Linked DNA regions of Caenorhabditis elegans. The protein of the gene in region 2 purifies or fractionates together with the protein of the main gene of each other region. This does not show direct contact. Each region holds a gene or a part of one and is shown on either strand. Other genes may lie near its edges. The genes, in order: cbs-2 and Y62H9A.14.

Evidence for each region.
Region 1: the proteins of Y62H9A.14 (region 2) and cbs-2 fractionate together in Caenorhabditis elegans (co-fractionation; one large-scale study listed by BioGRID). This does not show direct contact.

Annotation. Positions count from the first base shown.
Region 1 is NC_003280.10:2,219,586-2,225,084, forward strand, and holds cbs-2 (Putative cystathionine beta-synthase cbs-2), read right to left. Parts: upstream 3,983-5,499; 5' UTR 3,956-3,982; coding exon 3,838-3,955; intron 3,792-3,837; coding exon 3,724-3,791; intron 3,129-3,723; coding exon 2,326-3,128; intron 2,282-2,325; coding exon 2,175-2,281; intron 1,982-2,174; coding exon 1,530-1,981; intron 1,486-1,529; coding exon 1,094-1,485; intron 1,048-1,093; exon of another isoform or gene 928-1,047; coding exon 879-927; 3' UTR 811-878; downstream 1-810. Other genes in the region: Y59C2A.3 (Trichohyalin), read right to left, coding at 257-325; F54A3.5 (MICOS complex subunit Mic10), read right to left, coding at 4,900-5,073.
Region 2 is NC_003284.9:11,919,056-11,923,713, reverse strand, and holds Y62H9A.14 (CIA30 domain-containing protein), read right to left. Parts: upstream 2,482-4,658; 5' UTR 2,463-2,481; coding exon 2,295-2,462; intron 1,619-2,294; coding exon 1,131-1,618; intron 1,088-1,130; coding exon 1,001-1,087; intron 947-1,000; coding exon 860-946; intron 818-859; coding exon 677-817; intron 631-676; coding exon 597-630; 3' UTR 540-596; downstream 1-539. Other genes in the region: Y62H9A.16 (Transposase_23 domain-containing protein), read right to left, coding at 3,269-3,270, 4,067-4,258, 4,305-4,394, 4,437-4,508.

The DNA.
Region 1 (5,499 bases), on a different chromosome or scaffold from region 2:
TCGCAATTTCTTCAAAATTTTATCAGTGAATCTTGGGGTTTAATGAATTTTTAGTGAAATTTTAGGCCGAAATTCGATAAAAATCAGCAAAAAAACCTCTGTGGAATCATTTTTTTTAACGGTTTTTTTTCCTATAACAAGCTCAGAATATTTCCTATTTTGACGTTTTCTTTTAAATTTTCTCCTAAAAATTATGATTTTGAGCATTTTTCACAGGAAAATCTCGATATTAATTCATTTCTCACAAAAAACTCACTTGTTCCGCTTGTGGAACCATCATACCCTCTTCCGCCATCATTTTGTCATTAAACACGAGAGAAGTCATAATTTCGAGCTCTAAAATATAAAAAAATTGATTTAAAACACCAAATTCTGCTCTAGAATACTAAAAAATTCGAGGAAACAAGAGGAAAATCAATAGAAAATGCGAGAGCGGAGAGAGCGAGAGGCGGCGAGAGTAAGTGTGCAGGGTGTCTCATTGTCCGGGCCCCCTTCGCGTGCCGGGGTGGCAGGGGGATTTGAGTGTGGTGCGGTGGAGCGCGATTGAGCTGGACGGCGAATATGGCTTCTGTTATTTGAATTATGGCTTCTGTTGTCTATTTTGCAGGGAATATGACGAAAAATCCATATTTTCACTAATTTTACAGGGCGAATTGCTGGAAAAATGCATTTTCGGTCATTTTTAATGCAAAAACCACTAAAATTCATCGATTTTAATGAAAAATCGGTTATATCTCAAAAAACTCGGGAAAAAAGCCCAATTATCTGGAAAAATATCAATGGAGCGCGATTGCACTCGGTTAAAAAGAGAAAAATCTTCATTCATGTCAAAAATTCAGTTCATAATTCCAATTTCAAGTATTTTTTTAGGTCACAATTTACAAGAAGCCGCGGGCTTTCATCCAGTCGTCGTCGAGGAATTTGGTGCTGAAAAATTATGTTTAAGCTTGGCTTTCGGGGCTACAGAGTAGTATTTTGACCTCTAAAAACGACAAAAACTATAGGTTTCCCGCAATTTTCAGAGATCAAACAGCAAATAGACCTCAAAGCAAGCTGGGCCTAATTTTGTAGGCCCCAGGCCCAGACAACTCACAGATAATTCCGAATCCCGTCTGGAAGCAGCACAACGACATTCGCATCCTCCGGCAGATCCAGCTTCCGGCACTGCTCCAACGCGTAATGCACCGCGCATCCCGACGATCCTCCACACAAGATCCCCTCGGTTCTGATGATCTCTCGAGCCATCAGGAATGACTCCTTATCATCAGATTTTAGCCAGGAATCTACTGATTTTTCGTCCAGGGTCCCCGGGATGAAGTCGTAGCCGATCCCTTCAACCTCGTAGAAATCTGGAGCGGGTCCAGTCGTCGGGCCGGTCAGGATTGATCCATTCGGGTCAACGCCGACGACGATCGCGTTGGGACGGCGCTCGTGGATCTTCCGAGAGATTCCGGTGATGGTACCACCGGTTCCTGCGCCAAGGACCTGTAAGAGTAACAGTTGAAGCTTGATCCGAAGTTCCTACTCACCACTAGATCAATCTTCCGATCCCCCATATCCCACAAAATCTCCTCCGCAGTCTCCTCATAGTGTGCCAGTGGATTCCCCGGATTACAGTACTGATCGAGAATCACCGCACCCGGAATCTCATGCTTCAAGCGAAGAGCCACTCCGATGTGAGAGCTCGGGCTGTTGAAGGCCGCCTCGTTGGGAGTCCGGACAATCGTGGATCCTAGCACCGACAGCGTCGTCGACTTCTCCTTGGACATCTTCTCAGGCATCGTGATCAGGCATTTGTAGCCACGGACCGCCGCGACCAGGGATAGGCCGATCCCGGTGTTGCCAGAGGTGGGCTCGATGAGGGTGGTGGCTCCGGGGGTGAGTGCTCCGGGTTTGCCGGTTTTCTCAGCAATTTCGACCATTTTCTTAGCGATTCGATCTTTGGTGGAGCCGCCCGCGTTGAGGAACTCGCATTTGACATCTGAAATTGTCCAAGATGAGGATTTTTGGCAGACCAGGCCAGGCCAGACTAGACTAGACTAGACTAGACTAGACTAGACTAGACTAGACTAGACTAGACTAGACTAGACTAGGCTAGGCTAGACTAGACTAGACTAGACTAGCCTAGACTAGACTAGACTAGACTAGACCGGACAGAGGAATTCCCAACTCACAAACATTGCACCTGACTCCATGAGCCTTCGGAACGTGCTGAAGCTTCACCAGTGGCGTCTTGCCGATCGCATCGAGGACTGAGTCGAGAACCAGTGGTCTTTCCGGCCTGAAAATCAAATTTTCTGCTAAATCTCAGATCCTATAACCTACCTGAACTTGCTGGAACTCTTCCACTCCCCGACCATCTTCGTCGGATCGTAGTCCAGCACCTTCGGGTCGAAGATCTCACGAGGCTTGATAGGCTTCTTGCCGTTCACCTTCATCCAATCAGCATCTAGATAGTCCCTGATTCCATCCATCAGAACCACCACGACCACTGACCCGGCTGGAAGATCCTTGGCGAGTTTGATGGCTTCCAGCACTGCCGCTCCGGAAGATGGTCCAGCCATGATCCCTTCCGTCTCGATGAGGTGTCTGGTGAAGGTGTAGGATTCAGGAGCATCTCGGATTTCCACCTTGTACTTCTGCAGAAGAACTTCTGTTTCTGGAGCTGGAGCTGAAGCTGAAGCTGAAGCTGAAGATCTCACTCCGACCACTGTTGTCTTCTGATCCTTTAAGAAGTAAGCAGCGATCCCTGCTGCCGCTGAAGCTCCACCAGCATCCAGGGGTACCACAACTGCACTGGTCTTCCCAGCCTTCTCAATCTCCGGTGCAGTTCCTTCAAGATTCGCCAGAAACGCGGCTTTCTCGCAGATCCCATCAAGATTGTAGACACCTCGACGCTTGGCCAGTAGATCAGCCTGGAGCCGAGCTTCTCGGAAGTTTGAAACCGGGAGCTCCACGATCTTGGTTCCCAAAGTGCTCAGAATCGTCCTGACCTGGTCGAATGCTCCGGGAGGTGCGTGGGCGGTTAGTCTGACCCCCTTGACGGCTGCCACGGTGGCATAGGAGACTGCAGATGATCCGCCGGCGGTCACGTAGACCTCGTCGCCTCGTTGGATTCCGTTGGACATCTGAAAAAGAAAAAATCAATTAAAAAAATTTGTTTTTGAGATTTTAGATTACTTTCTGGGATTTTTTATTATCAAATTCGAATTCCTCGCCATTTTCTGAGTCTAAAACTCAATTTTCAGCTCAAAACTCGAAAATCGCGTGAAATTCGGTGTTTGCGTACTTTTGGCGCTACCGTACCCCGAGAAATTTCAAAATTGAGCTAGAAACCTCTAGTTTTCGATTTTCCGACTGAAATTTTAAGATAAATTCGAATTTAGCAGCGAAAATTGGTAAAAATTATTTTTAGTCCATTGTGACCAAAAATTTTAACTGACACCTATAATTTTGTGACTATTCCCGGAAATGTGGAAAATTTTAACTAAAAAATTCGAATTTCCCGCAAAATTTGCTAAATTTTAAACCCCATATCGACCAGATTCGGTTAAAAACCAGAAATTCGGCAATTTTTCCGCGCGTTGCGGCCGCGTCGCGGTCGAAGCTGGAAATTCTTCAAAATGAAGCGATTTTCAGCTAGTTTCTGCAGTCCCAGACTGAAATTTTGCAAGGAATTCGAATTTTGAATTGACATTTCCCAATTGTTCTCCGTTTTCTCACCTCAAATGCTCGGTGAGCCGCACGATCTTCCAGCGACCCGGAGATGTTGAGATATTCGAGTTTGACATCTGAAAATTGGAAATTTTCAGATTTTTCTGAAACATAGAAACTCACAAATATCACTTTTCAGCTGAAACTCGGCCTTCAGCTTCTTCAACGGCACCAGTTGAGTTGCTCGGTGGCTCCCGGCGTCCAGAATTGTCTTGAATGCTTTAATGGTAGGCAGGCACATCCTCCAGTCGGGCAAAAAGTTGAAACTGATTATTGATTGATTTCCAAACTGATCAAATTCACGAGATAAGGATGTGGAAAACAATAACACGGGAGGTCATACGGAAATTTTCTTCTTTTTTGAAAGATCATTTACACGTCATCAATTTAAAATTAAATTAAATTTTCATTGATTTCTTTTATTTAAATTACACGTGATATGGATATTTTCACAATTTTCAGCCGAATTTTTATAATTTTCATGGATTTCAGGCGTATTTTAAAGATTTGCAGGGGTTTAGAAATATAGGGGTACTGTAGAAGTACTGGTAGTCGGTGTTTGCGTACTTTTGGCGCTACCGTAATCCGGGAAAATTCAAAATTGAACTAGAAACCTCTAGTTTTCGGGTTTTGGCCTGAAATTTTGTGGGGAACTCGAATTTGAGCTCGAAAATTGGAAATAATCATATTTTAACAGGGTTTTGCAAAGAAATCGGTTTTTAGCAGTTTTAAACAGAATTTTCTTAAATTTTTGATGTAAAAATGAAAAATCTGTCTTTTCCATCCATTTCCCGATTTTTTTTCTTATAGAAAACTGCAATTTTCAAATTTTCGGTTAACCCGTCAAAATTCAAAATTTTTGTTCCGTTTTCTGAAAATTTGCTCATTTTTTGAGAGCTCCGAATAATTTCTGTGCATTTTTAATGCGAAATTCGAATTCCTCGCTATTTTCTTAGTCAAATCCTAAATTTTCAGCTCAAAATTTTGCGGGGATTTCGAATTTGAATCTGAAAATCTGAAAATGTTCCGTTTTCCATGTGAAAATCCGAAAAAATCGATATTTTTTCATAAGTTTATTCACACATTTTCCTATTTTTCGACACAAGAGAGAACAAAAAAAAGCGGGGTGGCGGGCGGAAATTCAAAAAAATCTCAAAAAAATCGAAAATTTATCTCTTCTTTTCTCTATTGCTTGTGTTGTTCGGTGATAATATTGTATGCCGGTTTTCCTTGCGAATCCTGTCCAGCTGGAACACGTTTTCCGTGCAAAACGTACGGCGAAGCGAAATCGTGACGGCAATTCGACCATCCGGTGCCCAAACCGACGCCTGATCCAAACCAAATTGGCCACGAGCGGCTCTGCAAAAAAATGAGCTTTTTTTTTTCGGGGGAAAATCGAGAAAATTCGGCTGAAAATTAACATTTTTCGAAGAAATTTTTTTTTTTTGAAAAATCAATTTTTATAGATTTTCTACGTTTTTTTTTAGAAAAAAAAAGGAAATTTGACGGAAAAATGTGGAAATCGCGAAAAATCACCGGAAAATTGTGAAAAATCGACTGAAATTCGATATTTTTATCGATTTTTCAACAATTTTCCATTGAAAAATCGATAAATCATTGATTTTTTGCTATTTTTCAATGAAAAATCGATAATTTATTGATTTTTCGTTTAAAATAGCGAAAAATCAATGATTTATCAATTTTTTTGTTGAAAAATCAATAAAGTATCGATTTTTTCAAAAAGTATCACAAAAAGGACATTTTAATTGCGATTTTTTGAAAATT
Region 2 (4,658 bases):
AAACATAATTTGAACCAGAGCCTTTTTCAAAATTTTTTGGCATGCTGAAATTAAGTTTATATCTATTTTCAGTTGTTCAATTATTCTAAATCCCCGTCGTCAAGAATATTAATTTAGGAAAATAGACTTCGAAAAAAAAAATTGAAAATTGGATAAAAATCTAATAGACAGCGCAAATGTAATAGGGACTGCAAGTATAATATTGAGCGCAAGTCTATTTTTTCGATCGATCTTTTTGTGTGCAATTTTAATAGGGGCGCAATACTAAGACAATACTTACTCTCCCTTCGAAAACCTGAAAAATACAGAAGTATTCTACACGATTAAATGTTTTATAACTAATACAACTTTTTGAGAAGAGGGCATATAATACACAAGTCAAACATAAACTAGGTTTTGAAAAATGTTTTCGTTTTGTTTTAACGTCCGCATTTTCATTAAACCAGTTTATTGTCTAGACATTCGTTTAGTTTAATGCAGTCTAGGTATCATTTTCTATGCTCGCCGACAAAATCTTCGCAAAAAGAAAATATATAATTTTTTCGGTAAAAGTTGTTATTTATTAACAGAATACATTGATGGGAATTAAATGGAAGTTACGGCGCTGTGGTTCTCCGTAATTCGTTGTACCTGAGCATATTAAATCTTAAATAAAATCTACGTCTAATCTTCATACCTTCCACGCCATGCAGTAGAACTTGAAGTAGGAAAACCACCAAATTGGATATTGCAGCCCGAGTGTTCTTTCCGACTATCCACTAGAATAACTTTCATCGGGACAATGGTCTTGCGACGACTGGCTTGACCATATTGAGATCTAAATGTTAATATATTCAAAACGTTTAAGATAGTGTCTTACGGTTTCGTGTTAGGAAGCGTTTTCGTTGAATTAATATCAATTGATGAATTCCAGATATTATTCATTTTTGAATAGTTGTTAATAAAACTGCAATTATAAACAATTATACTAAGAAATTTGAATAAAAATTAAAGTTGTCACCTTCTGGGTTTGCATCCATCAATTCTACGCTGGAATAAACTTCGATAGCTCTCACATGTTTTGTTGGATCCATTAGACCTGTTCCAACTATTTTTTTGAACTGCTTCTAAAAATTTTCCGTAAGACTTACCGCTGCTTGCTTGAGTTATTAGTTTGCTCGGTAAGACTCAAGGATGGAAATATTTGAGCATATTTATTGGTGGGATCTTCAAAGCTGTCACATGGTTTGCGAAGGTTCTTTTTGTCTAGTCCTGTGGACAGCAGGTCATATTGATATAACGATGGGTTCTTTTCATAGTTTTCCTTCGAGGAAGCATGATGCTTGTTTAACGGGAGAAGATTGTCAAACATGGTAACCTCAATGTGCACATCCTTGAAAACTGGTCCAGTTGAAAACTCAGCGCCTGTTTTTGGATTGCAATACAAACTCCAAATGGACGCTCTACAATATTCGGTTAAGAATGTCCCAATCATGCTCCAATCGAACTTTTCAGGATAAATTCTGACCAGTTCCTTGAATCCATACTCTTCAGACCCTGCTATTGGAATTTCACAAAGATGACTCCAGTCTTCTTCTAGAGCTTTTGCAGAAAGTGCACTCCAAGCTGAATCACGAAGCTGGAAGACATTTCGATAATTGAATATAATCAATGCTTAAATACAAATCAGACAATACTTCAATTCTTAACTAACGTAGTTTTTGAACTAGTGTTAAAACCAAGCATAACCAAGATATAAAACGTTAAAATATAACACTAGAATGAAAGATTAAAAGGAAAATTACGGTTTCATTTTTCATTTTCTATCTTACAATTTGGAAAAAGAAGAAAATCTAAGAATTTTCACAAATGATGTAAAGCTTTAATTTATTTGTTCGAATAATAATATATTAAACTATAAAAATTGCAATCACCGAGTATAAAATGGACTTAAGCACAATTGTTTCAGCTTGACATTTCTATCATGTGATATTTCCACTTTGTTCTTAATAATGTAGTTCTAATACACTTTATAATCACAATTACAAGTTTCAAGTGATGAATACATATTAGAAGTTCTTCCATGTATTAGGTCTCCAAATAAGTTCCGGATTAAAATTGATAGTTTTGTTTGCTGCGTATGGTTTTTTATTTGAAACTGAGGATTTTGTTATCATTTTGATTTAGTACATCACACTCAAATGTTTGTAGTAGACATATTTTTTCGGAGAAATTTCGAGTTTTTGGGTGTTTATCGAAATCCAAATTTCAAACCCAAACGTGTGTTGTATCTGTTTCACTAAATATGCACTTACAGGAAAACTGAAACTATTAGGAATGAACCCGCGCTCGGTTTGAAGCCAAAATCCGTATTTTACAGTCTCCGAGCCATCACCGAAAGAAATCGGTATCTGGTGCCAATCATATTGCCCGACCGTAGTGCAATCAGATAATGTAGTTAATACTCCTTCGGCTCCACCCATATTTATTTGATATCTGAAAGTTTAATCTACTTCCGTAATTTGACAGTAAGTGAAGACATGCATTTAACATACGGAATCAAACAAAAAGTTATCGAAACTGGAACAAAAAAAATTCTTTGAAATCTGATTATTTTTAGAAGAAAGAGAGAATTGAGAATTTATCATTGTTTTTTTTCTTAGCTTTTCACGAGAATAAAGCATGAACTTAAAAGTAAAAGAAAACTAATAAACTAAGAAGAATGAAAAATGAATTAATAATCTAAAACTTGAATTAAATTTTAATTATTAGCGTGCGACATGACGATTCGCTTGTGACGTCCTGTGGCTCCTCTCATCTTTTGATGAATTGAAGACAATTAGCATTAAGAAACACGCGTGCATTGCATCTATGAGAAAGTGTCACTTCTGACCAAAAACAGGGGATTTGAATAGGAAAGGAAGAGAAACAAAGAGTACAAGAAAAAATGGCGTTGTGAGCCGTGGAAAGGGCGGATAAAATAAAAGAGAATGAAGTGGCATGGAATGAGAATATCTACTCTGCGCGCTCATTCTTTCTTCGGTTGGTTTTTATCTCGTTGCAACAGGTACAATTCCAGATTTATTATATTTTTTGTCAAAAACACCAATTGAAAGAACATACTGAATGATATAATGATGGAAATATATTTCGGATATGAAAAAATATTCTTAAAATGATACGAATAATGAAAAAGCCCGGGTAGAGAAATTACGTTGCTGCAATGATGGATGCGTTGAAGATGAATTGGAAGAATGTTGCGCATTGATGAAGGTGCATTCGTATACATTTCTGAAACCAATATAAAATTGATACACTTTTTACAATAGGGTTGAATCAAAAATATTTTCTAATTTTAAGCAGTAGAAATGGCTCAAATGGAGGAAAAACTCCAAGTTAGAAAAAAAAGGGGGTTTGATGAATAGTCAAAAATTCGGTGAACTAGCAAAAACTATAATTTAAGGGGTTGTTGTGTGCTTGATATAAACTTTTAATTAAGAATAAAAAATTCATTAAATCGACATGTATTGCAATTAGTTGATAGTTGATAATTTTCACGATGATTGGCAAAATATTTCAATTTTTGCTAGGTAGTAGCTTTCTATCGATAAACTTCTCTTCAAAATATTTTGTAATGCCATTATGCAAATCACGTGCACTTTTGGCTGAAAATAGAATTCTTCAAATTTCAAGAAGCCTAATATTTGTATTTGTATGCTCAAATAATTGAAATTGGATTTCAAATTTTGTTTCGTCAGCTATAATTTATTATTCAGTCTCATGAAAAAGTAAAGTGCAAGATTATTCTTCTTGATCATGTGTATGTCTGACATACGCAAAACTTGATTTATCTACATAACGGAGATTCCAAGAAAAGTAACAGCGTCATGTTAGATTTCAAAATTAAACAAAAAAAGTGTTCTGAAGTTTACGGGGTTGGATTCAATTTTAATTTGTTTTAACGTTCATGCGAGTTTTGATATTGAAATATATTTTAACCGCAAAAACACTCGTCAGAAAAGCAATAACTTATGCATTCTGTTTATTGAATGCTTGGCAATGTATTTGAAGTTAGAGTAAAACATACAGTTCTTCTTTTTCTTTTTGATTGGCGGCGCCATTGGTGCTTTTTGTTTTGATCTTCCTGACTTTTTCCCTGTTTTCCTAACTTTGTCATCGTCGGTATCACCGTCGGAATGGTTGCTGTCAAAGATCCAGCTAGGAAGCACGAACTCCTGAAAACCTAGTTCCAAAACCTTTTCAGCATTTTTTGAGAGAGCTGAAAATTGAATGTACAATTAAGAGAATTGGGTGTCTTCACAGACCATATCCAATTCTTCCTCCTGGCCATGTTCTAAGTTCTCTTGGAAGTGTGTAGCTCTCGGTGGTTTGAACATTCGACAACGAATGAAAAACTTAAAATCTTAAAACATATTAATTTTTAGACTATTGCTAACCAGCGTCATAGATCGTCACTTCCGGAAGATTCAGATGTCCAAAAACTGGATTATCGGAGAAACGTGGAACTTCTGGAAATGGGTAGTTTTTTGACCATTTTGCGAAAGTTCTAATTTATGTTTTGATAATTTTGCGAATATTAATAATGCTAAAACCCCGTATATAGTATTTCCTTGTGCTAATGAAAAAATGAGAGAAGATTTAGTCAGCGGTTAGAATTA